Struthio camelus: one gene and its partner. The protein of the gene in region 2 interacts with the protein of the main gene of each other region in a pairwise test. Links are inferred from orthologs where the notes say so. Each region holds a gene or a part of one and is shown on either strand. Other genes may lie near its edges. The genes, in order: TRA2B and YTHDC1.

Region 1 (15,239 bases), on a different chromosome or scaffold from region 2:
ACAATTTCTGGTTTACCTGAAGTCTGTAAACAAGCTCCAGTGAAATAAATGGTAAAAATTCATATCTATGTGTCCGGGCAGTTGGAATTAGAACTGCCTAGATTTTTAAGAAGTTTTTCCCTGGTAGACACTTCTTTACCCTGCATATAGTTTTGCTATTAAACAGATAATGCATGCATGTTTAGCAAAATATACAGGGACACATAAACAGACTAGTAATTACTTAGCGTAGTGCTTTCAGATTCCAGATTACTTCTTATCTTAACTTCATTTTTATTCCTTTTCTTCATTCTTCCGTTTCAAATTCTGACTTCTTTCATCTTCCCCACTTCACACAAATTGCTCAATATTCTATAAGTGGGACTTCTGGTCTGATAATTAGCATGCATTCACTTTCTTTTTTTTCAAATTTCAGCTTCACTTATTCCTGAGCTTCAAATAATTCTCATTTATAAAACTTGTCAAATGGCGACTTCCGCATTTTCCTTCTTCAACATTAACCTTAATAGAAAAAGAACAGGATGAAGAATATTTAAAAACTCCAGGATAAAATCTAGTGCCAAAACTGAAACTAGAAAAAAAAAAGTTTTGTGGACTTCAACTATATATGCAGTTCAAGAATTGAATCTACCGACTCTCCTACTATTTTATAAACAGATTCAGTCAATTCAATTTAACTTAGTACTAAAGTAACTGAATTCACTATTTATGCCTACATTTAATATCAAGTGCACAACGGACCAACTGAAGACTTACTCATCATCTAAGAAATTCAAGTGTTTTGTTCTTCATCAGCCACATACTTAAGACAAAAAATCAACAAGAAATGACTTAAGTAAAATAAGTTCCTACTATGGTCAGAGACTAACTGATGTGCTTTTTCAATGCAGAAAGCACACTGACTTATGATTGTGTTACTGTTTTGGGACGTTCTCACAGTTTAGAAGGCCTAGTTTTAAAACCCACATCTATTTCGCCTATACAAGTGTGATTACACATGCAGGGTTCATACTTCCAATTAAATTATGATTTTCCACAGACTGAAAATACGATTCTGTGCAAAACACAAATACTGGAAAAGTATCCCATCTCCTTTATTATTTACTTGTAATTTATTTCAGTAATGACATAACCTAATTATCCTTTTCAATTTTTGTATTTTTAATCAATACAATGCTTAAACTCAATCACATGGCTTCAACTTTTAGTTTGAACACACCAGAAGGAATTTGCTTCAAGATATTAGAGGAAATTTAAAATTCAGCAGAAATCTCACCTATTTGGACATACTTTTTTTAGAAAGAGACCAAATTCTAAATCATAGGTCAAGTCTTGACAATGCTCAATAAAGACAGAGTACCAGAATTTGTCCAAAACTACTTGTTTTACCTATGTAATGTCTCTTGAAATTTCAACACTCAACTTCTCTTGAAATTCTCACTAGTAGCAATTTAAGTATCAAACATTTAAAAATCCATTTGCTAAATCAAACTTTAGTTTTGCTTAAGCCACTTCTATACCACTCAGAACAAAGTCTAGCTATTTACAATTGCCTACCACACACGCTTGGGGGAGAAGGAGGAGCTTGCAGCACAAAGCAGATTTTCAACTGAGCACCACAGAAACAAAACAAATTTGGTCTTGGCCATATTCTTTGCCAAAATGTGCAATCAGCGCCATTACATTATAAACACCTCATTTACTACACCTGCAAAGGTTAGTGCAAGTACTGAAAACTAATTTAAGTCACAAATAGCAAATTTAACCTAAGCTCATTACTACATTAACACATGAGACTTAATTCGGAACTCATCCCTAGGTTTTTTTTTTTTTAAATTTAGCCACAAAAAGTTTTCAAAATATTTTCAGACTTTATATAAAGCAAGATTTGAAGCCAAACCTAAGGCTGTTCTATATTTGAGAAAAATACTTAATTCCCAAAACATTACACTCTTGACAGATTCAGTCTAAAGAGAAGGAGTAAAATAAGGTCCAGAGACAGAAGATCTAATATTGAAGAAAACACAAGAAATGAATGATGCTTTGGGAGCGGGAAGGAAGTAGCAGGAAGAACCACCTTGCCCAGAAGCATACTCCAAAGCTGGTCCCTCCCCCCACAATAATCTAGTTTTTAGAGATACTAGGCTTTGAAGAAATCATTATAGGAGTGGCTCTAGAATAAGCAAATAACCTAAGCTTTCATCTATTTGATACACTTTTTAGGATGATCTTTGCTATCTTATGTTAATGTAAATGTGGAAGTGGACACTTCGCATCTGAGAAGACAACTGCATGATAACCACATCCTAAAACTAGGCAATTGGCAAAATGTTGTGAAGTCCAAAGAAGCTGCATGAAAATAAGCAATTTTTAAACCTACACATTTTTTCCCCTGGAGTATCAACTTCCAAACCTTCAACTTCACTTTTCTTTTTCTTTTTTTCTTTTTTCAGAGTTATGTCACTTCTTTCTTGTTGCAAGCCTCAGAGGAATTAATTGCACCTCATCTCTTCATGGTATTACTAAAACTGGTAATAACCTCTAGAATTGAAAAGCTATTATCCCTCCTTGCCAAAGGAAATCTTCCCTACCTAAATTAGAGCTTTTCAAATATCACTAGCCAGCAGACCTCCAAACTTTACAACGTTCTTCTCTCTACCTTTCACTTAATGAGTTTTTACCTTGTTAAATAAGGTGAAGTTAGCTCCTTGCTCATGACACATGGAAGAACAGAGATAGAGGAAAAAGCTAATTTCTTCCTCCTACCTACATTTAAGCATTGCAGGTAAGCAGATCAAGCTGTGTTCACATTCAAATTTTAAACGCTTCCAGATCTCCAAATAACCACTACAAATATTGATTCCAAAATAACCATTTCTTCTAACCTTGAATTTCTGAACTGCAGATTTTAAGAATCACCAGGTCACTTGATCAGTACCTACAAATCCTATCTACTTCCTCTTTATCATGTATTACCGTAATTCAAGTGGAAGAGCTTAAGTTATGGTTTCTGAATTATTCCTCAAACATGCTTCAAGCATATTCAAACAACGTGTAATTCTGGAGTTTTTTGTTTTTAAAACACCTCTAAGCACATTCATAAAGATGCGTTACATTCATCTCCTCTGAGCACAGAGTGTCACAAGAGCAAGATCATCCTGGGGACAGCAGGTTAAGAAAAATTCCATTGACAGAAGCAGCTATAATGGATGTAAGCTAGGATCATGTGCTTTTTGTACTTCCAAAACCCAGTTTTTCCTTATAGCAATTAAATATAGCAATTAACTATAACAGGCAATAGATTTCAGTTATTTAACAACTTAAAATATAGCCAAACAAAATTTTAATGTTATCTATCCTAAATCTTTTAAACTTAGGTATTTTCACTTGCTTTCCTAAAGGTACAGCCTCACATTGTTTCATCAAATCTAACTGCAGATCTATTAAAGGTGTAATTGTGCTAACTGCACACTCCAACTTCTCTACTGCTGAATCCAGAGAAATAACTGCTTCTATCTCGATTCCCACATTTGGTTTCCAGGGCCTTGGTAAGCTGATTCTGACTCACCCTGAAGCCACCCCATCACCAGATCGCTGCTGGGGGCCGAGAATCCACTATCAAGAGGGAAAGCAGTCTGAATACCTTACAGAACCCGCTCACTTCTAGTGTTTTACTTCCAAGACCTTATAAATTGGCTCTAACAAAATAATAAACAGTACTAATATAAGCTGAACTCAGAGATGTAGCATTTTCTTTCCAAAAATTTCAAATCAATGCCTAAATACTTCAGTTTATGTAACAGCTTCCAAATGGCATCAAAAAATAGAGAATGTGGTTTGAAAAGCTGAGCTCAACAGCACCAAAACCAGCTTCCTTCCGCTATGTCTGCCATTCACTCTGACCTCAGCTGATTCAGTACACTAAGCTAGGAGGAAAGTAATCCAACAACAAAAAGCAAGTGATTTTCTGACAGCTTGGGGTATTCAATCAGCTTACCAAGAGGTCAGATCAAGTGACAGATGGTGAAGGAAGAAAAAGGAGAATACCCATACTTTGGTGGCAGCAAGCTATTAGATTGTTTCTGACCATCTCAAACTGCTTCCTTAGAAATAAATTATGGAAGAAGTTCTAAGAGATGATATAATATTCTCAAAAATGCTGACTTTACCTTTTAAGTGATCTACAACCATTCAAGGTACTTTGACTGTAAAAAAAGAAATCTGGCTATCAGATTAAACGTTTTTTTCCCTGATCAGACACATACCAAATAATCATTGTCAGGATTAGCTAACTCACAGGAGACTCACTATTTGGAGGTTCCAAATATTCAGGGAATAAAGAAAGCAAGACTTTTCCTAACCAGCTTTCTTTCCAAGCCTTCTGTGCACAAATTACAACCGTATCTCAGGATTGAACAAGTTTCCACAAATGAATAAAAGTGACTCGGAAGAAAGTGGCAATCTGTCTCACTGCGTGCTGTCAGAAGTCAAATATCTGAAATACTGGCAGCATTTAATCATTTATTATCTCTTCAATTTAAAAACGTTTTCAGAGTTTAAAATCACTATGAAGTGTAAGCTGCACGAAACAATTTGAGGGGGAATCAATATCATTATTATTAGTTTAAGTCATGACATAAGCCAATTTAAGGTTCAGTTGCCAACGAGACACCAAGTCCCACTACTTCCACCAGCACTTGGTTATTTCTTCTCCACTGACACTAAGGCTCACGTGGCTATACAATCAGTCAAGTCTGTGAATCAATGCAGCTGGAAATTGATTCAGAATATTAATTTCAGCTGATTCAATTCCCAGATCTGACTGACTACACCACTTCACTGGCAGAAGGGAAGGAGCAGGAACAGAATTTCAGGAGCGTAATTCTTGTTGGCAGCATAGGCTTGGAACAGTTTAACAGCCAGCTGTAAAGCCATATCCTAGATTATTTATCCAAATACCATTCCTACTCTGAAGTAGAGACTTCAGAGTCCAGCTTGAAGAACTAGAAAGCCACTGACTGGGTAAAATAAAAGCCTAAGCAAGCAACAGATATCCGTAAGTAACACTGGTACAGCATTAGAAAAGCCACTGCCTGATCTAGTCTACAATAGCAGGCTTGTAGCTAAATGATTGTACTTTTCACTTTTACAAGCATGTATATTGCGTAGGACTTACCTATGCACGAGTCACAAAAGTTCAGTTATACAGAAATAACATTTCTCTGAGCAAGCTCTAATGGGAGATAACTCATCCTAAGCCTTCATTGTGGAGACTGCCTGAACATGATTTATTTTTTTAAGAGATTCAGAAAAGATAAAACAGAGAAACGGGCACAGGGAAGAAAGCACAACAGCAGAGCAACTGCTGTTCTATCACACCCTGCATAATTGTTTCAAAGACTTTACAACAACTATTTTAAATATTTCCATTCATGCTAAACAAAGATGTAGGTTACCCTGACAAACTGCACTAAAATTAGGCTATTATCTTAAATTGGTTTTCAATCTGACTTGTATGGTAGTAATTAGAGCTCTCATTTAACTAACATGCAGTAATCCATCTTGAACAAGTCAGAAGTAATACTCCTTTGTAGAAAATCCACTGGTTGTAATAATATGAAAACATTAATGAAAAACAATGCTGGGAGGAAGGGGCGTATAAATCTACTACTCTTTAGTCCCTGTTTTTCAGTGTTCAAAATCATCTACCGTTTTTAGCTTTCAGGAGAGGAGACCAGATCTTTCTAACCTATCTGGAAGAAGTAACGTTGACATACTAATAATGCTTATTAGAGTGAATCTGAATAAGAAAACCCCATATTAACCAAAGAGAGGCATTGCAAAAATACCATTTCCTGCCTAGTGTTATTAAATTCTCTGAACAAGTTTTTTTTGAAACCTCCAAGGAAAGTGTAAAATATAAACTAGCCATCACCTAAACTCCTCCCTTGGATGCTGCGATAGCTTAGCGGAGTACGCTGAAAATAAAACAAAATGCAATATTGATTCCTGTATTGCACTCATCTGTGGCAGCAAAAGACCTCAAAGGAAAACAATGCTGTTTCCCCCTCCCACCAAAAACACAAAAATCCCACCCTTCCCAACCAAACCCAACTACACATACTTTTGAAGTACAGATTAATCTGTAACACAAACTGTCACAAGTGATCTGCAACTTCAAATTAAATCTCACCCAGCCAATAATGTTTTGCAGTAACTAGTTTAAAAATATCTTCTACCATACTGCAAGTTTCACAATGCAAGCATAGAGAATCCTGCCTTAGCACTATGAGAGTTGATGGTTTGAGGTTTAATGTCTGGCTACTGCAGTCACCTTTAAGTTAGAGACCAAGCCACCCGGATGCAAAGCTGCAACTCCATCAACAAGCAAAAACAGTATTTTACAAGCAAGCACAAAGCACAGCAAGTCAGAGTTGAGCTTATGAAGTAATGCACTAAAAGCGAATTGCAGTGCGGTTTTGGAGAGAGTACAATGAAAGACAGAACTACTACCTTTTCGCATTGTCCCTTTCTATTCTGGTGCTAAGTAACAAGGCTAAGGGATGCATGACACAGGCTACAAAGACAGCAGAACTATGGACCGTCACCACACCACCAGCCGAGGCAGCCGCAGCGCAGCCTACTCTCACCCCACAGCGAGCTCAGAGGCGCTCCCGACGCCCCCGATCACACGTCCGCAGACCTAAACAGGGCCGGCGGGAGCGGACGTGGGCCAACAGCTTGGCGGGAGGCGATCAGGAGCACATGGGTGGGAGAACGAAGCGGGGGCAGGCTGCTTTCTCCCCTCACCCCCGCCTGGCAGAGCCGCCTTAAAAAACGGCGGCGGCCGCCCGGCCCCACCATCAGGACACGGGAAGCAGCCAGGGGCTCTGCTCCCTCACGGGCCTCGCGGGGAGCGGCAGGTCCCAGAGCCCGACCGCGCTCGTGGCACGGCAGCCGCGCCGGGCCGAGAGATAGCCTAGCCTCCGCGCTGCCGGCCGCGGGTCCCAGGACGCGCAACTCGACCGCTCTCGGCCATTTTGTCCCTCTCCCGGAGCGCCTGGTCACCAGCCCAAGATGGCGTCGGGAAGACTCACCATGGAGCGGGCGGGCGGGCAGCTAGAGCGTCCTCGCCGCGCGCCCCCATTTCCTTTCACACCGGGCCGGCGGCCATTTTCCCGCGCCAAACCCCAGGCCCGCTGGGCCTTCCCGCACCCTGCGCCGAGGCTTCCTCACAGGCCGCGCAGCGGCGACCCCTCCCTCAGCGGATCAACTGCCCTCTCCACCCAGGGCCGCGGAACGGGGACACCGGGAGCGGCCGCGCCGCCGGCAGAAGGGCGGCGCGAGGCCCGGCCGGGCTGCGCACTCAGGCTCCGTGTATTACCCGCTCGCCGTAGTTCTGCTCCCCGCTGTCGCTCATCGTCCCTCCTCACAGGCTCCCAGCGACCGCTGCACCGACCCGACCGTCCCCGGCGCCAGCCCTGTCCGCAAAGGAAGTGACGCACGCCGCGCGCGCGCGCCAGGCCCCGCCCCTGGCAGCGCGCCGCGACGCACGCGCCCTACGCCTCGCGCTCGGCCCGAGCGCGGGAGGAGGTGGGGGGAGGAGGAGGAGGAGCGCGAGTTGCGCGCGTGCCCCCTCAGCGGGGCGGGGGGAGGGGCGGGGGGGAGGTCAGTTAGTGCCGGGCCGCGCGGCCTTGTCGCGTACAGCCCCCTCCAGCTAAAACACCGAGCGGGCTCGCCGAAGGTGCAGTCGGTTCGTGGGAAAGGCCCCCCCCCCCACACGCACAGCAGCAGCGAGGGCTGCCGTGGGTAAAAATTGGCTGACAAAATAATTTTCGGTGAGCAGGTGTCACCAAATCAGGGAAAAGTAAAGATTTTCATCAGGAACCAGTGTTAGACCCAGTGTTACTTCATAAATGGTCAGTAAAGGTAAAGCTGTTGCTTATTAAGTTGGGTGCTAAGTGAGGGATGATGAGGGGGGTGGGCGTGTAGAGCCTTCTGGACCATGAGGTAACGTGTTTTCTTTGGAAAATACATCTTAACAGAGGCAAAACTGGGGCTCTTCAGCTTCTGAGAGAAAAATGTAACAGCAGCCAGCAGTGGAAGCTGATGCAATTCAAATTGAAAAATCGAGCACATATGACTCTGTGGGACTGAAGAACAAACCATTCAAGCAAACCATGACTTTTTTTCTTCCCTTCTGTCTTTAAGCTAGGAGTTTTCCCAGACTGTATGCTTTAGACGCACACAACTCAGTGGATTGGATTCTGGTTTTCATCTTTTGCTTCTTGAGGCCTAATTTTTCATTTTTTAATAGTGGCATTGGCAGTACACAGACTAAAGCAAACCTTCTTACCCACTCCTAAGGACTCCACCTAAGCACATTGGGTAACAATTTTCTACAAGGAAGGCTGATATAACTGATAAGGACAGGGTTCATCTACGAAATGCTTATGAGAATGTGTAATGTCTGTAACTGGTTTTAATGCACAGCATGTTGTTATATATCCAGTGAGGCTGGTTCATTGTACTATATTTGGCTTTTCAAGAAATCCTTCACTGAAGATTCTTGAAGACAATAAATTTGGCAAAGGATCAGAGGGAGGCACTCATTAATTTTTCTGAGTTAATCTTATGGTGAAAAGATTGGAGGCAAGATATGGGAATAAATTATAATTTTTTCTCAATGGTAGGAGATTTTTTCTCCTGTGACCTGTGCTATTCAGCATCTTCATAAATGATATGGAAGAGAGATTACTGTGGGGCAATAAATCTGTGGGTGGTGGAATATTATTCAGGTTAGTTGAAAGCGAAGCTGAGAAACAACAGCAACAATAACCCTGAGTGACTGCGTGATACAAGAGCATGTGAAATACAGTTGATAACTGGGATGCAATGCATGTAGGCTTTTTTTTTCCCCCCAGGTTACACTTGCACGACAAGGGCTCTTAACTAGCCATTTCCATTCAGTAGCAATATCTTGGAGTTGCCAGAAACAGTGTCTTTAGAGCTCGTCAAAAAGGCCCAATGGCTGATAGGAGTTGTAGAAAGGGAAGAGGACGTGAAGTGGAAACTATCATGTTGCCATTGTACTCTTATTACAAACACCAGATGCAGTTGTGGTCACCCCATTTCAAGCAGAAGGAACGACTTGGAAGGGTTCAGAAAAGGAGACAAAAATGATTCATGGATGCATTCCAGAAGGAAAAAGAGGTCTCTTCATTTGAGAGAGAGGTAATGGAGGCATAGACTTCTGTCATGCCTGGGTTTCCCCAGCAATCCTCTTTCACTGGAAATTCTTTCTGGGCATATGGATATCTGGCAGGCCACTTTGGGAAAAATACCTCCCAGCTGGGCTTTCTGTGCCTGCTCCCTTCTCTTTCCTTGATGTGCTGCCTTGAGACACTGGCCATGGCTTTAGGCTTAAAGAAGATGCAGATGTTCACTTTGTGACCGGCCTTTTATATTTGCTCTGATTTGTACCATCGTCCTTGCCATGCTGTCGAGAGTATCAATGCAACTGAGTCTGAAATTCCCTGCCAACAATGCAATGTCAGTAAATAAAATGCTGGCTCAGTTCAGCTTGGCTGGTGTGGGGCAGAACAGTCCTTGAATCCTGTCCACACAGCAGTGTTTTTCAGCAACTAGTCTCTGTTGGCTCAGAATTGTGATTCCCAACAGAGCTGTGTTTACAGCCTGGCTAGCAATAGCTGCCAGGAGGGTGTTGAACTGCAGGGAGGGCTAGTAGTCACATACTTCTGCCTCCAGAATTGGAGAGAGTGGCTCAGGCAAAGGCATTGCTAGTCTGATGGGGTGGTGGAACTGAGGGGGGAAGGCAGGGGACAAAGTGATTTCATCCCTCACCGAGCCTTCCTTGTGGTTGGGGGTGGAAGGGTGGCCTGGGGATTGTGGCTGACACCATTTTGTTCCCATTTATTCATGAGGGTTTTTTTTTCAGTGCAGGCCAATACTGTATCCCTGCAATGAGAAGCACCCAGTGAGGAGCACAGCCCTGCCAATACTAGGACCAAGGGAAGATCCAGGAGTGGGAGGAAGTGTTGGATAAGTGCCTCAAAGTGGCAAGTGACCAAAGCTAAACTTTGCTAGCTCCTTGTTGATGTGGAATAACTGGTATTTTGCTTCTTGCTCACCCTTCTCCCAACTGGTTGGGGCCACCATTTGAGACTCCAGCTGGAGCTGGAAATATTAAGTGACAAGTGATTTTGGTTTCCAGCAACGCTATCTGAATGAGCAGGAATTAGATTCTGCCATCTTCACTTACCCTCAAAAAGCAGCTGCAGAAGGAAGCGCGCCTGCGTTTGCTGGCTTGCCCTGTTTCTTGCAGTCGTCACTGTGAAGCTGTGCCACAGAAAGAGCTGAGTGGAAATTGTGTGTGGTAGCCCCATGCTGGCTTGGTTTTGCTCCTGGAAATAAAAATTGGAGCTTTCCACAACTGACACAAAGAGACATTTGGTTTGTCCAATCCCTGGTTTATTTAATCCCTGATAACAGCTTTCAGAAGGATGCCTCACCCCTTGCCCCCAGCCTTGGCTTGTCAAATTCAATACCTTACTAACTATTTCCATTAAAGGGATGGTAGAAGGCATTTACTCAGGGAAGGTCTAAAGGAAGCAGGGCAGCTTGGAAGACAGGGGCAACCACAGATTCACTGAAAGTCCAAGCCCTCGCTGCTCTTCTCTCTGGGTAGGGGGGAGGCAAGGAAGTGATCACTCGAGAAACTATGTCCTGAGGAGCTGTCTTGTCTCCACACAACTCATGCTCTGCAGGGTGATCATGCCCACTTCTACACTTGAAGCCTTTCACTTAAAAAGTCTTCATGTACAAGTCTGAGGCTTTAAGTGCAGAAGCGGTCAGCGGGGGCAAGGACCCAACCTGAATGTCTGCTAGAGGGGGGCGTGGTGGGGAAGACAAGGCCCAACCAGAGAGGTTGCTGGACAGGACCTGACTACTCCACAGAGCTTAAGTGAGTTGTGTGGGACAAAGAAGCCCCACTAGATTTTTGCTGTGTGGCGTGGAGGGACAGTACCCCATGATGGGTGCCAAGTACTAGCCTTTGTTCTGGTTCAGCCCTGGCCATGCTGGAACATCCTCTCCATGTTGTGGCTGGAGGCAGAGAAAGGCCCCAGTGTTCAGGAGGAGTTCCCTCTGTGTGCCAAGGGCAGCACATTCCTGTCCAGTAAGGGCATGCGAGCCATGCCGAGGTTGGTCTGCTCAGCCCTGATCTGGGCACCAGCACTGAGCACCCATCTGTACCACAGGGCCAAACATCCCCCTGCTCCTGTTTAGTGGTAGTGAAGCCAGCACAGGTTGCCTCCGATGGGGACCCCGGCAAACCAGGGAAGGGCACACGAAGGGAGTGTCTGCAGTTGCCACTGTACCAGGCGTTACAGGCCCTGCAGAGCAGCGCTGCCTCTATGCCAGGCTTCTAACTAAACTTTTTACTTCATAGCGAAAACAATTTTAACTACAGTTTTATGCTAGACATTTACAAGGCTAATACCACCTACCTTGGTGCAGTGATAAACTCTCCATGACAGAGCAGCCCCCCACACAGGGGGAAATAGCCAGCCCCAGGGCCCACCAAAAGGGAAAGAGAGGGCTCTGGGCTGCAGTGAAACGCGTAGGAGTCCTGTGGACAATGAAAGGCAAAGGAGGGTTTAGGCGTGCACTGAAAAGTAGACCATAGATCTTTGAGGGGACTGGGGGACAAATGTAGAGCTCTGGGACATGCTGAAAAACACACAGACGTCTCCAGGAGGGACTGAAAGGCGTATGGGAGGTTTCTGAGGGGACTAAAGGGCTGGGTCTATGCCCCACTACCTTTTACTTTGTAGTGAAAACATTTTTGCCTACAGCTTTACTGCTGTATGCTTTTGACTAGGCATTTAACGAGGCTAATACCACCTACCTCACTGTGATGTAAAATCCTCCATGACAGAGGAGCCTCACACATGGTCTCTAGGATGAATTCTGCCCCCTCTCTACCTGCTCACAACCTATCTGGTCAGCAGCAGGCCTATTCCTCCCCTTCTGCTTCAGACCAGTTTCCTAGCAAATGTCTTCATTGCAGACTGCGTTCCCTGCTCTACCACAGGTTGCCTGTAAGGCCTTTGGTCCCTTCCCTTGCCTCTCTGCTTTGGCTCCTCACTCACACAGTGACCCCCGATCGCAACTCTTTTGGCTGGGTACTTCTACTTGCAAACCCTCCTCCCTGCTGTGACCATGAGAAGGGAAAGGATGGAAAAAAATGCAGACCAAACCAATGAGGGTTTACAAATCCCAGTTCTCAGATGGTGCTGAAGAGCAAGTATTGACACAGCGGAGCCACAGCTAGGCCCTCCCAGCCTTCTATTTAACCCTGACCCTGCTGTCCTATTTCCCCATCCAGCAGCCTTAGCTCTACTTAGTATCTGGTCATTTTTTTTTGATGAGGTCCTTTCTTTGGGCTGCACTAGCTGGTGACCACCTGGGCTTGGAAGACGCTCTATCCTGTGGGATCAAATATCGTTGGGAGAGGGCAAGGCAGAGGTATAGAGCCTGACAAGTGACCCCTTCAGAGCTCCGTAATATTTGCCGTGACCTCAACTGGAGACAGGGCTGAGATAGGCCAATGTGTGTGGGAAGGCACATACCATTTCTGTAGGACACGAGTAACAATTCAAGGAGGAAAGAGAAGTCCCATGAGATGCCAGTGTAAGACCTTGTTCTTCTCTTCGGCAATTTTAACACAGAGTCTGCTATCTGTTCACGCGGTTGCAATACTAAAGGTCGCAGAGAGTTGGACAGAGATGTCACAGACCTTCATCCCTCATCTTTGATTCCTCATGAGAACTTGACAGAACTATGTTGCCCAGACAAACATTTCAGCACTGCGCCTGTTGACCTGCTCATAAGGAAAGATGCCGGGAGCTTCAGGGCCATCATTAAACTCTTGATCAGAGCACAGAACCTGCAAATTACTTTATGCCTTGATTTGCTTTCATGGCGAGAGCCATGAAAATGGCCAGTGTTGCTAGAAACGGTTTTACTCATCACTCATATTCAGAGCAACTGATTTGACATTGTTAGAGGACCACATGACAAGGACCTCACACTTCTGTCTTCCTCACCTATTTTTGCTCAAATTTTTCAACATCAATCAATGCAAAGTAGAGCAAACAGCTTCTTCCCTTCACTACAGCATGTCACTCAGAAAGTGGCTGTGGCATTGATTAATACTACCAACATCGCTTTGGCTTGTCTCCCTTGGTTCCTTTAACGTTTACATTGTACTTGCACTGCTTTGTCCATGCACCATTCTGTGCACTGTGAGCGCTGGGCAGTTGTACTGGGGAATGTACTTACCCTAATGTATCCACTGAACAGGTTAGGAAAACACCAAGCCACAGCATTTACATTTTGGGAAATATGCACTATAGGACCACAACCAAGTCTGTAGATGTGAGAGGAATGCAGACGATAGGTGCTTGGCCAAAGGGTTTATACAAGATTCTGGTGTTGGGCTGTCTGTGTATGCTCACCTTCAAAAGCCATTCAAGGATTTAAAGACTACTGACATTTTTGCAGTCATAGATGCGAATTAAAACAGGCAGCATACAAGAGCATCAAGTCAGCCCTAGGAACACTTCCTGACAGGCTGGCTGCCTTTAAATTTAATTCATACACACATAGACAGAAACTGTATTTTGTAATATTCCCACACCAGGAGGAAGAAATGAAAAGCCTGGCAGAGCCAGTATCAGAAGCACCATGACACTGAATAGCGTCCAGTTGAGGTCCAAGAGATGTGGCAATCCGAATATGAGTGGCGGCTATGCACAAATGAGGAGCTGCTATCATCTCTGCTTTGCAAGATGCCAAATTTTGCCATAGGCTGGAGATGGCACTTACTTGAAGTTTGTGAGGCAACCTCCTGTCTTTCTCGATCAATTAAAATAAATCCACCTTTCAAAGTTTGAGTTTTATTATGGAAGAGTTTTTTAAAAAGTCACTGTGGTTGCAAGGGTCTTTCTTAGAGCAAATGCCCAAGAGTATAAAAGAATTAGCTTTGTACATGCTGGCATTGAAAATTGGGACGTTTCTAAAAAGTCCACTTGAGGGCAGCGTAGCACCACTAAATAGTCATCGTTGATTATGTACTTGAATTATTTTTTCATAAAACATGGCAGCCATGATGAACCTTGCAAATGCATCTCTACAGAGTAACACATACACCTTTTTTCTCCGTCAAAAGCACACCAGCTGTCACTGACTGTCATCACAAACTGAGCAACACAAGCTGATTGTAAAAAGCACCATCATCCACAAAGGGGTAACGTTGCTCTGTACTTGTGCATATATTAAACAAGTTTTTGTTCAAAAATTACATGGATTTAAGGACAGAAGTAAAAGTAGATCCAGGCAAATTTTCTTGTCTTTGTCAGGATTCAGATTTATTTATGTCCCCTTCTCCATAAGCAGTCTGAATTTGCAAGCCTCCATAATTAAAAAAAATTTCAATCTAAATTTCAGGAACAAGTAAGTGATAGTATAGGCACGAACAAGGAATTCTGCATCTTTTCTCCTTTCTTTTTTTCTTTAAAGCAACTTCTCTTCCTTACACTGCTGATAAAGAAAACATATGCATTTTGTATGGCATCACTTAACACTTTCATCAGCCTCAGTTCCCCTGGCAAATTGAATGAACTGAAATGACTTAAAGTACATCCCTCCAATTTAAGCAAAGCATTGATTGATTCAGTATTCTTGAAATAAAAGGACTTGTGTGAGGGTTTAAATCTTAAGACAAAAGGAGTCACACCCAGGTGGCAAATACCAGTGCACACCTCAAACACTTCAAACAATGCAAGGATATGGGAATCAATATTTGGGCATGACTGAGAGGAGTTAAAAAAAGTAATTGCTGAACAGAGCACACCAAGATGAGAAGAGCTGTCAGATCAAGGGGATCACCTTGCAATAAGTATCATAGAAAGCACCAGTGTGCTTATTGAATCACCAGAGAAATCAAGCTCACAAAAAAACCCCTAAAATATATGTACACAAATGCACGCAACCTGGGACACAAGCATGAGGAACTAGATCTCCATGTGGAATCACAGAACTGTGTCAAAATTAGAATAACTGAGACATGGTGGGCCAGCTAGCACAACTGGAGTACTGCAATGAAAAGATACACGTCAGGAGACAGGCGGTAAGACAAAGAGTTAGGATTGCCC
Region 2 (16,071 bases):
AGCAAAATATGAACCCTATGGGTTCTAAAACTGGAATGCAATAAAAACACTATTACTTGTCCGCACTTAAAATAATTGTCCGACCTGTTCTTAAAAGTTTCAGTGACAAAGATCCTGAAACCTCTGCAAACAAGCAACTACTGGGGGTACATTAATTGTAGTTGATTATCCCTGTGGGAGAGGAATTAGATGATCCATCAACATGCTTTCAGACCTAGTTTCTATTGTTCTAGTGTTCATCTATGATATCTCATAACTTTGCAAGATGACTCAAGTTTCTAAGCATCCAGGGATGGAACACTGATCAGCGTTTGATGAACAAGCAAACCCAGTAGCCATCCAAAAAAAACATACAACAATTGAAATAGGGCACAAAGAATGAGCCAATTTAAACTCCAATCCTATGAAGCACAAGTATTTCAGTAGCCCTAGAAACAGAAGAGCACTGTGGTTTAAAAATAGGGTGTGATTCCAGATAACAGCAGTGATTCACCTGGAAGACAAGGTGAATACAAAAGCAAGAGACAAGTTAAAACCTGCATCGAAATGAGAACACAGAGCGTCATAGTCATTAACAGCTCCTTTGGTGCTGGTATGAAAGGTTAAGGACAGGGCAACCTGGCTTCCATGGGAACAAAACACAGGAAAAGCTATGTCTCTCACAGTAACAGAACCCCCCAGAAATGAAAGTGACTATTAGCAGTAACTCTACTGATAGTGATGCATATTGCAGTCATTGGCAAATAAGCACAGTGAATTCTTGTACCTTGGCTGAACATAGAACATAGATCTTAAGCCAGTGCAAATCAGCATAGCTTTGGTAATATAAACGTACAAATACCCAGTTACAACTGAGGGTCTGACTGTAATGACATGGGAAGCACAATATTGCTTCCCAAACATGGGAAGGAACAATATTGCAAATAACAGAATTTCCTGAGTGGGACACGCACACATGTCTCACACTGTCTGCTATCCATATGTTTCCATGCATGGAGCAAGACAATAACTGTTTATATAACTGCTAATGTCTATTATATCTTCACATAGCACCCCTTCTTAATGAACTACATAGCACTCTGTACCATTCTGGTGGGGTTCGTGCTTTTAGGTCAAGAGATACGTGTTACAACCTCTACCTAAACACGCATACAGACATGATTGATAAACACACTGCAGAACTATGAGATGCACTGCACTTTTTCTTAGCTGCTTCTCCTACCCTTTGGTCCCGCTCAACCAATACTGGTCTAACCACCCAAGCCCCCGAGCAGCTGCTACTTTGAACCTCTTTTCCTAAAAGCAACATCTATGCAGTAGGCATCTGCCAGTAAATCTCTATTATGCTCTGAAGGTCCTATGAAGTTTCTATGAAGAAACTATGAAGTTTCATAGAGTGGGTAGGAAAAGTGGCTACTGCCCCTGTTGATAGAGAGAGGCCAATATGCCCATGCCTCAATAGATAACAGAGATGCTGCAAGAGAAAGATAGAAAACTGGGTTTCACTTTTGTTAGGCTTCTCGGATAACTGCTTATGAAAGAGAACCCCAAACTTGCCAAGCACATGCTTCCTTCTTTCCATGAAGAAGGCTTCCCACCCACAGAACAACATTGTCCCAGCAATCACATTAAGTTTTAAAACAGACTTCAGATACTGAACAGCTCCTCACAGCTGGAAACTAAGCAGGAGACTTTCAGAACTGTCAGCATCCAGAAGCCCCCACTGCACTCAGCTCGAACTGCAACAGCTGAGCCTTCGGGAGAACGTGACCTTTACAATCTGGTACCCAAGCAGGAGCTCACAGGGCTGTCTCTTCTGCAATTCCAGCTTGAAAGTCTGCACTATTAGAAAGGAAAATTCCCGTATTTTTTTTTTTCCTGGGACAGGACAGAAGACAAACACACAGGCAGAAGGCAGCAGAACATGACATGTCTTCTCTCCATTATATCTTATCAACCAGCATCTGTCAGTCATGTATAGCTTTAAATTACATTGCTGTCAATGGGTGTGATTACTTATGATGTGCAGAGTTCTGGATACTCATTTTTATGACCAAAAAAAATTCCTTGGTTACTGTCAGGTGCTATACATCTATTTCAGGCTAAGTTAAGGTAGGGCTAGCTAGCTAATGATAGGGTCCATCACAGTACCATGTTTTGGGACACCTAGTCTTGTCAAGCCTGTTCTTTAACCCCCAACCTGACTGGCCTAGACAGTCTGCATCATATAGAATAATTGTTCATTTCTAGTGAGGTGACAACTAAGACAGCTGCACTTTTCAGCAACCATAAATCATGGCAGACAGAGGACAGGGAGTAGGGAATATCAAACACATCCCTCTCCTCTTCAGTGCAATGCAGCATACAAATTGAGCTCCAAGTATAGAGCACTTGAGCAATAAACAGCTAACTGTAACATGATCCAGCAAGGAGGATAAGCCCATCCTTAATTTCAAGTATCTGATGAGAACCTCACAGCTTCCATAAGACTCAAACAGGAGCTCTAACAGTTCTGTAAATACCCTGCTGAATTCAGGCCAAGCAAATGCAAATGTCATAATCAGATCTGAAAAAAGTACTTCAGGGATGACCTTAACCACAGCCTTACAGTATCCCTCTTCCCAGGGAAGCTGGCAGCACAAGGAACAAAAGCTTATCAATTAAAATATGTACTAGAACAAATCCTGCCATCTCCAGACATGACCTAGCTAGGCAAAGCAGCACTTCCATGTATGTCATCCAGCACAGGCCCTGCATTTCCTTTCTTCTAAAGATAACCATCGTTGACCACTGGAGCTCCTGCAGCAAAAGAAAAGACAACGGTTCACATTGGTCTGGGATCAAAACAGGCACCAAGTGTGACATGCTGCCACCTCCTGATTCAGTATGGGATTGATCTAGAGATACTCCGTCTGGCTGAACCATGGTGCAACTTGGCAGCGTATCTAAAAGCTCACTGCTGTTCCTGAAATGGGACAGCCTTTCCTCTGCGCTCATCTCACCTCTTGATAAGCCAATACAACTCACATTCCAGAAAAGTCATCCAGGAGAGAAAACTGAAACTGTTTTCTTTCAAATTAGCAATTTGAATCAGGAGTCGATGAGAACTGGGGGCAGCACAACTGAAAGCAAGGGGAGGGAGAGACAGAAGAGGGGGCTGCCCTATGCTGCAACAGGAAAACTCTCAATTGCCTCAACTACATCATCTAACCTTACTTTAAGGGATGGCAGAAGGCAACTGAGGGAAAAAGTCTTTTTACAGTGTGCGTGTTCAAACAGGGCACGAAGAGCTAAAACAAAGGATAAATCACAGTAACGACTGTCAAATGCAAATTCTTCAGATAGCTCCACAAGAGCAGCCTCATCGGACCATTCAACATACTCAGCTTTGCCCTACCTTGCTTGTCACCAGAGTCACTCGTCACTGACTATTCAGCTCTCCAGCATCAGACTGCATTGCAACAAGCACTTCCAAAAGCATTTTTGGATGTTTTTATTCAGAAAAAACTTAGCCCCCTCAAAACCCAGTGCCAGCAAACAGATATCATCCTTAACATTTCAGCCTGAGAATCACAGTACCCGGGGAGGAGAAGGAAGCCTCAAGGGAAGAAAACAGCACTGAATAAGGAACAAACAAAAACAACCAAGAACAACAACGGGGAACAGCAGCCAAACGCAGATCTTTTGGAAGATGGGCAAAAACGTCTTCTCCTCCAAGTACTTTCGTTTTCTTTAAGATTTTTTGCACCTTCTGCCATCAACTTAATTTAAAAAAAATGTTTTGGAGTAATGCTTTTAGAGCGTTTCCTGTTTACACAGTAATAATACCCTGAGCCAATAAACTCGGCAGCCTGAAGTACTTGGCCTTGGCATACACTTAGTCCAGAATACTGTAATTACCTTGTAAACAGGAAGCACACTACTGCCAGTGCACCCAGGCTGCTGCAGGAACAAAAGACACAGGAGCTGTACTTCCGCCCTAGCACCTCCCATAGCCTACTTAAGGCACAAAGCAGAAGCAAAGCTACGTAAAAATACCTTATGCCTATCTATGCCTGCAAGCCTCTGTCAACACTCTGTGCAGCTATGTCTAAAAATCAGAACTTTTCATTGCAAACATCATCTACGGGCAGACACAGCCAGAGTACTAGCTTTAGAAAGGCTTTTAGGCATAGTCAGAGTACAACTAGATATGGATGATACGTGTTATAACCTATACCTTACACTTGCAAGGTCGTAGTCAGATGACAAGGACCAGTGTGCATGCAATCATAAAAGGTATCAGGCTTTAGCAGAGCACTATACATGGTTACACTGTATAAATTTATCGGAAAAGCCATTCTCTGATAAAATTATAGCTCTCTTGCATGCAAAGACAGACAGCAGCCAGATCAGTGAAGATGCACATTCCAGGAACCAGCTACTTGCACAGCTCCCCACCAATTCACACCATAAAAGTCTGCCTTTCAAGAAGAATGGGAGAGGTAACAAGCCTTGTCCTCCAGTCTGGGAGACTAATTCTGAATCAATGGATTTATCCTTTTAACCTAGTTTAACCTAACTTAGATAAACCAACATACTTCACAAAGGTGATATCACCACCTCATCTTGGTGCTCCACAGTTTCAAGTTACATAGGCTGCGTTAGGCCCACAAAAAAGTCAATTACCAAAAGGTACCTCTTGAGTAGTCAGCAACAACCCCTCAGCCAATCCCTTGACAGAGAGAAGGCCTGACACCAAAGCAGGTCCAAAAGCACTTTCTTCTGCTTCTGCATTGGTTGGGAAAAAGCTTAGTTTTCACTCATCCAGATCTGTTCTCTCAAATCCATCCAGACTCTATCCTATTCATATTAATGGTCTGGACAAGAGTCAACAGAAACCCTAGCTTTAGTCACTTCTGATCAGTCTGTTAGCAACATTAGCTCCGCAGACAGATCACCGTTCCAGAGGAATCTCGTCTTTGACCCAGATACGATTATACTCAGTTATCCTAGACTTTCCTCAACAGTACTCACCTCTAAGCTACAGTCTTCAGAGAACACCCATCAGCAGTCGTTTGCATAAAAACACTGACAAATGAGCTAAGACTGTGATGTTAGAAAGACCTTATAAGCAATTTTAAGGACAGAAATTCCAAGCAGCACCTGGTTCTGAAGGGCATTCTGCCCACGCGAGGGAATTCTGAATTCCTTCTACCCGGGTTTGGGCAAAGTAATTTTCTGGTCCTTCAAATAAAAGGATGCCTATAAAACCTCTGACATAACAAGAGCTAGAAGGAAGCCCAGGGCCAAGCTTAGCACCCCTGCTCTCCCCCTCCCCTCCCAGCCATGTTGGGCTTTGCTACATTGCAATCTGTGTGGGAAGTCACAGTTAGCAGTAACTTGGCTGCACCCAAGAGTCTCCCTTACCATATGAGGTTTAAGCAAGAGCCTGTCGATAAGAGAATCACAGAATTGTTGAGGTTTGAAGGGACCTCTGGAAACGTCCCTAGTTCACTGGCTTATGAAGAGTCAGCTGCAATGCTCTTGGAAAAAGCTTCAGCAGCCATCCTCAGTTGCAGGCTTCTGTTTTGCTTCTCAAACATATTAAAGTGCTGGACCATTATTTGAACTGTCACTTCATGTCACACCTGATTTTGCTGAAACCTACCAGAAGGGGTAGGCTACACGTAAAACAGCTTTCTCCAAAGCTGTCTTGCTGATTTTCAGATTCAAAGAGAAGTACGCAGTCTGACATAAGCTGCAGCTTCTTGTGATGAAGTGCCCTTCCAGTTAACTCATGTCAACGGTACCATCTAGTGGCTTATATGCAGATACACACAATTTTGGGGGTCAGTACCTTTTTCAGCTCAGGTTCTATCAAAAGCAGTAAACAGAATACCTAGTAAAGCAATACCACAAGGCAATTTCAAGTAAAATTAGAGAACATAGACACTGCTCATGAATGCTGCATGCTAAATAACCCTGAGGCATGCACTCTGGTAGCTGAAAGGCCATTCCAACAGCTGCTTACCCAATTCACGTGATGGGTACATGCACACGAGAATTGTTTGTCTTTCACTACATCTTCAGGATGTGTCAGCAAAACTACTAGTGACAAGCACTGCATGTTTCACAAGATGCAATTCCAGAGAACATAAAGACCCATGGGGTGAGCAGGTGTTGAATCAGTCAGAGCCCCACAGGTGTAGTATTAATCTTTATTCAGATCCAGTATCAACTACAAAGCTGAAGAACACGTACTTTGCTATCTCTTTCAGTAAGCATCACAACCATCTCACCATTGTCCTCAGTCCACCTAACTAACTTCTATGACCTCTCTGCAGAAGTATTGCATTTTTCCAGTAGATGCTTTTATCCTATTTTAGGTTCTGCTTTGAAGCAAGATAGACAACAATGACCAATGCCCAAGGCACACCTTGCATTCTAGTCTTCATCACTAAAAAAAAGAAGATGTTTCCTCCCAATGTTTTAGGCTGGACTAATCAATAGCTACTGTTCTCAGCAGACGTTTTTACTAACCTGTCCACTTTATAAGAGCAGCCTGAGGATTACGAGGAAAAAAGTACTGCAACTGCTTTGTTTTGAAGGGAGCAAGTCTAAGGATTGAGTCGACTGGCTGCATCCATCAGACTAGCCTGCAAAATGCCTGCAGCCTTAAAACACGAATCTTCATTCAGTCAACAGCATCAGGCACCTTGCTATGCATCTTCTCTAGGTCAAAAAAGGCAGGCAGCACTTCTGCAGTGTGCTAGTTAACAGGATTTAAAACATCATAGTGCATAAAACAAGCTCTCACGTGACCATTTCAGGTTGCACACAGCCCTATCAAACTGCTTTAGGGCACTCAGTGTCCGGCCTCTTCAGAAACTGTCCAAAAGGTTACTAAGATGACACAGTAACAGTTGTGAGCTATGTTACTGCAGGTGAGCAGCACGCACTAACCACAGGTTACTTTAAAAAGCTACCTCACATTAATAAACACACCTGTTTCATATTTGAACAGAGACTTTCTAAAACAAGTTAAGCATTGCCGAGAGCAAGAAAAAACAACTCCCCTTGAGGGAAGGGGAGAAGGAAAAAAAACCCACAAAGCTGCTGCAAGCGCATCTGATGGGAACCAGAGCCATCCACACAGCTACAGGAAACCTGCAGAACAGCAGCCCCAAGCACTTCCCCAAGCCCGGGGGCGGAGGGGGGGGGGAAGGGAAGCCTCCCCTGCTCCCCACAGCTCCCTTTCCAACATACGAGGCCGTTAAGGGCCGCACTCAGGCGGCGGCCCACCGACTCCAACAGCCGCCGCCTCAGAACGCAACGACACGCGCCCTAACACCCCCCCCCCCCCCAGCCCTCCCCGCGCAGCGACGCGCATGCGCGACGTGTGCGCCTCGGCACGCTCTTATGGGCGCGCGCCCCGCCCCCTCGCTCCCTCCTCCCCCCCCCCCCCCGTGCGGCACGTCTCTCTTCGACCTCCTCCCTCACCCCGGCCGGAGTGCGGCACTGCGCGTGCGCCGCCGGGCGAATTTCCCGTCCTTTCCGCCCATCGTCCTGTGACGCGCAGAGCGTAAACAAAGCGGTGCATTGTGGGAAGGGGGAATCGTTCCGCGCAGGAAGAGCGATCCTCCATCTTAGGCGCTCGACGCGTCGCGGCGGCGGGATGGCGGCGGACAGTCGGGAGGAGAAAGGTACCCGGCATTAGGGCTGGGGGCGGTGGCAGGGCCCTGGTGAGGGGAAACGGCTCGGGTGGGGGAGGCACCACATCGCCCGAGCCCCCTTTCCTTTTCCGAGGCCTACTCGGTTGCTGGTGCTGGGCCTTCGCCCTGGGGGGCGTCTGCGAGGAGAGTTGAGAGGTAGCGGGGGTTGGAGGCGCCATGTGGGGGCGGTTTCGACAACTGTTAGACGTCCCGGGGCCCCTCGGCACCCAGAGGGGTGCTGCGTGTGGTGAAACGCTTCCCGGGCGCGCTGAGGTGCTGGGGCTGTCGCACCGTAATGCGGTGCCCGGCGGCGGCGGGCTGAGGGCAAGGTGACTCGAGCAGCGGGGACAAGAATAAGTTTACTGCTTATACATGTTTCAGTATAAGCTGTCGATTGCTACTGGTTATCTTCCAACAGAAAGTATCAGCTTTGTTTTATTTCTTCTCTGATGGCTAGCCATCCTTTTTTAATAGGATTTTCCATGAAGGAATATGGGCTATAATTTTGCAATTGGAAGCTTAAATTGCACTTTTTTGTGATATTTTCTGCTTTATTTTACTGTCTTGTGCAGAGTCAGTTATGCTTACTGGGCACTGTGGGTAAATATACTTGAAATGAAAGTTGACCGTTTCCAGGGTAACGTATATTCAGAACACTGCTAATTTTCATGGTATGCAGAATCTGACATGATGCATATGCTTTCTATGACAAACTGATTTCTATAAATTAGCCTTCACTAAATTCATTTGTTAAAAAATGAAAGCATCGTTTAACTGTGGAAGATTGCTGTTAGGTGGTTAGCATAAATAATAGCAATGTAACCTATTATAGAATAAAAGTAAAGGATCGCTGATTACTCTCTTTTGGATTTCCATGGGATGCATTTCATGGAAGATTTTTTGTAGGATAGATGCAGCAAAATGTCTTTTGTTCAAAGCGGTGAAAGTTTGCTATGTCTAATATTCCTTGCGAAAGTAGATCATGTCAGAAATTCCCGTTTTATTTTGTTAGTGCTAATGAGTAAAATTATTTCTGATTTTTTGAATCTTAGCATTAGCAACTTGGCATTTAAGAACTGTGAGGCATGCTATGACTAGGTTCTGTTCAATTAGGCTAGAGCTTCCATTGGAGAAGAGCAGTGAAAATGAAATATTTACTATTGCCTTCTGTAAATTCATTTTCATATTACGATTTATCCAGGTTAGCTTGGATTTTCTTATTTTGTCTTGTTTTTTTAATTATTGATAATGGCTGAGATATGAGTAGCAACCGAAAAACATTTTTATGTTTCGCATTTTAATCTGTTTTTAATTTTCTCCCCTATGGGAGGCCTATGATTATTACTTATTTGCAGCTGTTAATGCACATTCATTTGTAACTGAACTTGTCTTCACTGTAAATGTGATGTTGTTTCTTTGCTCCTTCCAAAAGAGAAATGCTATTTCACTGCTTTGGGAAACTGGAAATAAATCTCGCTTATCCTTTCTGCTTTAAGTCGCCTGATCTTATACCCTTTCTTTTGCCAACTCAGATGCTTGTTTGGACCCTTCCTTGAGCAGATTTAACTCTCATGGCCAGCAGAGAAAAAAACCTTCCCTGGGTTACTTTTTTGCTGTTTCAGGTGAGTTAAAATTGTTCACGGAAGAGTCCAACACACCCTGGAGTCAACACAAGATGTGTTGCAGGAGGGCACAGTTGGGATTGTCTGTTGTGAAATGGAAGAGGTACCCCTTTGGACCTTCCCCTCTAGCAGTCATGAACTGAGAAATCTGTCCCTCTGCCCCTTTTGTGCTCCTCCTTTTGTGGTTTTCCTGATTGCCCTCTCTGAGCCAATTTATCTTGCTAATCAGGTTGAGCGCTAACAGTGACAGTTCAGTTAGTGGAATTATCTCACAGAAGTTAGTTGAGAAGAAGAGCTGGGGCAAGGGAGAGAAGAGAACCATGTGGTCAGACTGCCTTTTTTTGTTTAAGGTTCCAACTATAAATCAGGCCCCTCTAACCCTGAAGGGATTCTTCACAGAGGCTATGTCAGACTTGCTTCCTCCATTAAATTTTCATTACCTTCTCATTTATTTCTGGACCAGCTGCTACCTCAATCTCTTAACACCTCTGAATGCTACTGCAGTAGTTAAGGTAAATGTAGTTTGCTCAAGTGTACTGTTGCCTCCTCAGAAGTGGAACAACCCTGAGGTTCAATGTTTGTGGTCTGATATGGATGATATATTGAATATTCTGAGCCTAGTACACCTCTTTTTCATTGGTCTCCAGTAGTAAAATCTTATTTGTAAACTTGCCTAGTCTTCTATGGGGAAGCACAATTTAAGCCATGGAATTGCAGCAGATATTTAGCAATTGTAATAGCCAGATTCCGGGCTGTACATCTCTCATCAACAGCAGCAGAAGTATTTGCTGGGGATATAGGTGTCAACAAATGTGAATATTTGCTCCCAAGAGAATGATGATGTAGCTTCATGTTATATTTAAACGTCCTCTAATGGCAAGCTGCCAGTGAAAGGCTCAGACTACCTTTCTGCACCGCTTCCTTTGCATTAGGTGCAGTAACTGTGCAGTTTTACGACAACTTCTACGTTCCTCTGCCACGGATCATCTGGGAAATGCGAGCAGGGAAGCTAGCACACTGTGTTGAACTCAGATGCAGGCATATATAGCAGAGATAAAATGATAATATTTTTCCCAATGGAATGGGAGAATTGTGTCTTTGTTGTGGCACAGTTTAAGATATTGAGATAGTCAAGTTGCCAAACCTTGGAGGATTTTGTTTGCTGCTTTACCTGTGATTTCATCCAGCATGGAAGTCCTTACGTGCTGCTTCATAATGTTGCACAATGTGTCTTTAACAGATGTCGTCAACTAGCTGAATCCTTGGAGTTTGCTCTCCTTTCCCTGAAATGAGTAAACGCAGAAAGTATAATCGCTGATAGTAAAATAGAGTGAAAGAGCTAAGAATTCCAGAGTTTAGAAGTCATATGAAATTCTGAAATTAATGCCTTTTCTATTATTTATCCCTTTGCATGTTCATGCTTAGTCCGTTCTCACTTTGAAAGTGCCTGGAATATAGATCTGCAGTCTTATATCTGATGAAACCCTCATCTACCAGAATCACTATATATTCCCATGGGTTTCAATCAAAGTGAAGCACAGTTGGAAACAATGACAACTTTAAAGAGTTGTGTGACCAAGAGTGGTCATTCAACTTCTCTAGCATTAATTTCCTTAAACTTGTGATGCCTTTTGGTCAGGGTGAATTGATTTTAGTTTTCCTTCAGAGCAGTTCAGAATTAATTGTGCAGCAAATACGTGCTGCTTTCTACCTCTTCACTGGAGCACCATGGCTTATGATCTTATTATCTTCCTTTGCCCTGCTGGGTTTTCTGTCCTTGTAGGTGAACCACAAAATTCCCCTTTCTAATACAGCAACAACAATAAAATAGCAAGGGAGAAAGGGAAATAGTTTGAGGTGTAAGTCCCCTTCCTCAGGATTTTGAGGACAGAGGTGCCTCTTCTGTTTATGGCATTTGGGCTACCTCCCACTTTCCTTTTTGTCTAATTTTGTACAGTTTTTTTTTTCAAGCCATTCATTTGTAGGTCAACTGTTCTTCAAAGCTTGCGTGACACGAGTAGCCAGCTCAGACCTTATTTGGAGGCCTAAGGGTATCCTGTAACATATTTTACTACTGTTATTGGCTTTGATTGATCCTTTTCGTTGTGAACAAAATCAAGAAGATTTTAATTTCGCAGTATGGCAGGTGCATAAACTTAAGGGAAAATTTCTGGTCTGTTAATACTAGTTATACTGTAGGTTGCATCTTCAGACTGTTAATAGCGTTTTTTAACTTAAGTATTTTGGTTTCAGATGGTGAACTCAATGTTCTGGATGACATTTTGACTGATGCTCCTGACCAAGATGATGAGTTATATAACCCCGATAGTGAGCAAGATAAAAGTGAGAAAAAGGGTAGGTGACTTTGGAGGTCCTACAGGAAAGTAGGCAGTAAAAACATCTGTATTAACAGGATTAAAGTCTTTGAAGTAACAGCTCTTAACAGCCTGTATCACAGAAGTAAAGAGTTCCAAAGATCAGTCTTGCGTGGGCATCTGCTTTCTCATCTGACACTTTGAACAGATGTTTAATTTGGTTTCCTTTTGTCTCAGAAGGAGTTGCTGAGTTTGGCTTTTTGTGAGTGTATTTGCTGCTAGAAAAATCACTGTACTTCTCGGTTCAATGAAGTGAAACATAAAAGGAGCAAGAGGATTTCAAAGTCTGGTCCTGCTCAGTTGGTAATTTGGCTTTAGGACAATTCCTTAAGCATTGGAATTAATGTTCCCCGTATATTAAATCTAGAAAGTGTTAAAGCCTATGAAAGCCTGAAAAATTGATTGCTATTTTTAAATTGTATATATTTTCAGAATATCGACTGTTCCTAATGAGCAGTTTGGGGTATCACTGTAGAAAAAACATACTAAGGTGAAGCTTAAAACTGGAAGATGCTACCTATGACTTTGGGAGAATTATCAGTCTAGAGAAACTAGGGATTTCTGCACAGTTTCCAGTTTGATACACAAAATAACATTGAACTTGATATCTCTTTTTATTTAAGGATCAAAAAGAAAAAGTGACAGGATGGAAAATGCTGAAAGCAAAAGACAAAAACCTTCTGTGCATTCTTCAAGGCAAATGGTGCCAAAGCCACCTAGTTCATCAGTTAGCAATAACAAGAGAATAGTGAGTACGAAAGGAAAGCCAGTATCAGAATACAAGAATGAGGAATATCAGAGGCCTGATAGAAACAAGCGTCCAGATGGTGATCGAAAGATGCGCATGTCAAGCAGTTCCAGGGAACCTTATAAAGGACAACCAGAAAAAACTTGCATGCGGAAGAGGGATATTGACAGAAGGGCAAAGTCTTCCACACCAGATGGTTCAGAGGTAGTAAATGTTCTTGCTGCCTTATAAATAAAACAGTTATATGAGACTTTTATAAGGCACATTCTCTTAGGACTGTGTGTGCATCCTGACAATGTTTTATGACTGCTGATTCACTTTTTTTTTAAACATCAGAGAATCAGGCATGATATGGATAGACGACCAAGCAGATCCAGCCATTCTTCCAAAGAAGAGGTGAATTCTGAAGAGTATTGCTCAGATCATGAGACTGGCAGTAGTGGCTCTTCTGAACAAGGCAATACAGAGAACGAGGAGGAAGGAATGGAGGAAGAGGAAGATGATGAAGGGGAGGAGGATGAAGATGTGGAAGAAGATGGGGAGGAGGACGAAGAAGAGTATGAACAGGATGAGCGAGATCAGAAGGAAGGAAATGACTATGACACGCGAAGTGAAGCCAGTGATTCTGATTCTGAATCCGCATCATTCACAGATGGGTCAGTCAGATCTGGTTCCGGTTCGGATGCATCGGGTAGGTAACTTTTGGCATGCCAATTTGAAATACTTCACCACTAAAAGTTTGGTTGCTTTTACAAATACCACTTCAGGACCAACGTCAAAACTAACTCCTGGAAGCACAAGTAGGATGTAAAACGAAATATCAGTAGGCAAAGGAGAATTATACTAGAAAGTAGCATCCTTTTACACCAAGACTTGTGGATTTCAGGACTTCCATGCTGAAGAAACGTAGTGCTCAATTGCTTCTACTTTGCTGTTTAATACTTTCAAATGTTAGAGTTAATGTTTCCTTATGCATCTCATGGCTTAGTTTCCTATGCAATGAATTCACTTGAAGCTGATGGTGAGTTTTTCTGCATTCATGTAGATGAATGGTCAGGTAGAGTGGTGTGAGACATAGTACTAGCTCCCTGAAGAAGGGATTATATTAAATAGTTGAGTCTTAATACTGGCTGCCTTCAGCATCAGAAGTCAAAATCTAGGTTGAAACGATTAGCTGTTAAGACAGGCTTAAAACCAAAAAATGCTTTAAGCAGAAACGAGAAACGGTTGCTTTGCAGTTGTCTGTTATAACATTTCGTTCTGTAAGTCAGGATCAGTTAATGTCACAAATACGGCGTTGTTCAGAAAATTTCAGGTTCATGGCAAACCCCTTTTTTCTGCATGATAGCTCAAATTTTTCCACCTAGTTCTCTTTGTATAAGTAGACATAAAGAGTTTGGATTAAGTGAGTCTTGAAAAAGGTGATCTCTGTAATATAAGTGGGACACACTGGAGAGTTTGTGACATAGTTTTATTTGATAAGAAAAAGGCTTACAGCCTTGTTAAGATTTGTCTTGCATAGCTTCCTTGTCTGAAGTCTGCATATGTGGTCCTCTTGTATAACTTAACCCCAGTCTTTTGGCTAAGCTCTGCTGTCTGGAAATAGAGAACAGGAAGGTGTAGTTTAAGACAAGTGAAGCAATAATAATTATTCTTGAAAGGTCTGCATAAAATTTTAACTCTTTTGAGAGTGGAAATAATTGCCTATGTGCCACAGTGGTTAGTTTTCATAGCTCTTGCCATTTTACTGAGCTTTGGGCAAACAAGAGGCAGTATCACTATCACAACACAGCTGGTGCTGTGCGTGTTGCAAATTTGGCTAAAGGCTGGAGAGGAGAACGAGAACACCCTTGCTTTAAACACCTCGTAAATGAATTCTAACCTTTGCATGGAATTTTTAGATGTTTGTCTTCCTTTCGTGCATGAAAATTTGGAGTATTGTTTTCTTCTTTTGTGCATGGTATTCTGGGAGGAGCGTTATGGAGAGCAACCAGGATTTTCATGTGCAAGCCAAATGCTAACTTCCTCGTTACAGATATTATTTGCCTGTCTCAGTACTTTTTATCTGATTTTTGTCTGCCACTTGATCTTTACGATACCGCTGTTGTTTGTTTTGGGGGCTTTTAGATGAGAAAAAGAAGGAGAGGAAGAGAGCTAGAGGTATCTCTCCAATTGTTTTTGACAGAAGTGGAAGTTCTGCCTCAGAATCCTATGCAGGTATTCTTTCCTTTTATGGCTTGTTGTCCTGACTTGCATCAAATCTTATTGTGTAAACTAAAGTAAATGTAGCTGGCTGTAGAAATTTATGGGGTGTGTAGCTTGGTAAAATTTGGTATTGACTTCTGGCATGTTGTGCGTGGATACCTTTGGGGGGAAGTAGGCTTTCTTGTTACTTTAATGCTATTCTGTTGCTTAAGTGGAATTTTCACTTTTTTTTGTTTTAAACTTGGAAGATGATGATTCAGTGACTAGTTTTCTGAGTAGGAAACTGTTCAAATACTATTTAAAAAAAACAAACCCAAACCAAACTACCCAAAACCAAAAAATAAATCAAAACACTCGTGCACATTGAACAGTATTTTTTGTGTGTGTGGGTGCGCGCCAGAAAGCATAATTTGTCATGAATGAAAATTGTATGTGACAAGGCTGTAGAAATTGTATATTATCTCTATTAAGGCTCAATCTGAACAAATGTACTTTGGCTAAACGCAGGTTCAGAAAAGAAGCATGAGAAATTATCATCTTCCGTTCGTGCTGTCCAAAAAGGTATCATTTAAATTTGAATTTTTAATGCATGCCCCATAACAAGCCATTGTCTCTGTTCATTAAATTATGTCTAAGTAGTAATGTTCCGATATAATTCAATTTGAACACTTTACTGTTATGAGCATAATGAGTAAATCTGGAGTTACTTTTGCATGTTTTGAGTGAGATGCAAGAAGTTGTCCTGTTTTGCTCTTCGGGGAAGCAGCAAAGCAAGAAATAAGATGCCTGCCTTTGAAAAAAGGAATGTCTCAGAATGTCCTCTGTTGGAGGACTCCTGTTGATACAAATGTTTCCCAGTGTTTATCCAAAGATTCTTAAGCAAGGCTACAAATACTATATATCGGAACATCACTGAATTGTGCTTTTTTTTTTTCTTTCTTTTTCCCCTCCTCTTTATCTTAAGTACTGAAGTTTTAGTTTTGATTTGGTTTCCCTTACTCCTGTAAAGCTTGGCATTTTGTGCTCTACAACTTGAACTTCAAGTTTAAAGTTTTGGGTGGTTGACTGTCTTGATATGTAGGCAGGAACTGGGTGGGATACAGTATATCTTGGAAAAAAGAAAAAAACTATCTACACTTGCAACAGTTTTTAAAAAACTGTAAATATTTACATTTCAGCTTATTTGACGCTTTGTTTTTTCAGACCAAACAAGTAAACTTAAATACATTCTCCAAGATGCAAGGTTTTTCCTCATCAAGAGTAATAACCATGAAAACGTGTCACTTGCTAAAGCTAAGGTATGTTAAATTTCCTTCAGATGATTACATTGACTATTTGCAAACACAAACTATACGTACTGGTATATACAGTCTTTTCTCTGTCACTTAAATCTTGGGTAGAGACAAGTATGAAATAATTACTGCTCC

The links.
Region 1: the proteins of YTHDC1 (region 2) and TRA2B interact in binary tests that used the Homo sapiens proteins (3 or more experiments, as listed by UniProt). The link is inferred for Struthio camelus from reciprocal best matches to the Homo sapiens genes YTHDC1 and TRA2B.

The regions. Positions count from the first base shown.
Region 1 is NC_090950.1:3,143,572-3,158,810, forward strand, and holds the start of TRA2B (transformer-2 protein homolog beta), read right to left. Parts: upstream 7,623-15,239; 5' UTR 7,421-7,622; coding exon 7,385-7,420; intron 1-7,384. UniProt on the Homo sapiens protein: Sequence-specific RNA-binding protein which participates in the control of pre-mRNA splicing. Can either activate or suppress exon inclusion. Acts additively with RBMX to promote exon 7 inclusion of the survival motor neuron SMN2.
Region 2 is NC_090945.1:5,370,206-5,386,276, forward strand, and holds the start of YTHDC1 (YTH domain-containing protein 1), read left to right. Parts: upstream 1-7,547; 5' UTR 7,548-7,657; coding exon 7,658-7,685; intron 7,686-9,226; coding exon 9,227-9,316; intron 9,317-11,569; coding exon 11,570-11,671; intron 11,672-12,314; coding exon 12,315-12,643; intron 12,644-12,775; coding exon 12,776-13,130; intron 13,131-14,566; coding exon 14,567-14,656; intron 14,657-15,151; coding exon 15,152-15,205; intron 15,206-15,847; coding exon 15,848-15,942; intron 15,943-16,071. UniProt on the Homo sapiens protein: Regulator of alternative splicing that specifically recognizes and binds N6-methyladenosine (m6A)-containing RNAs.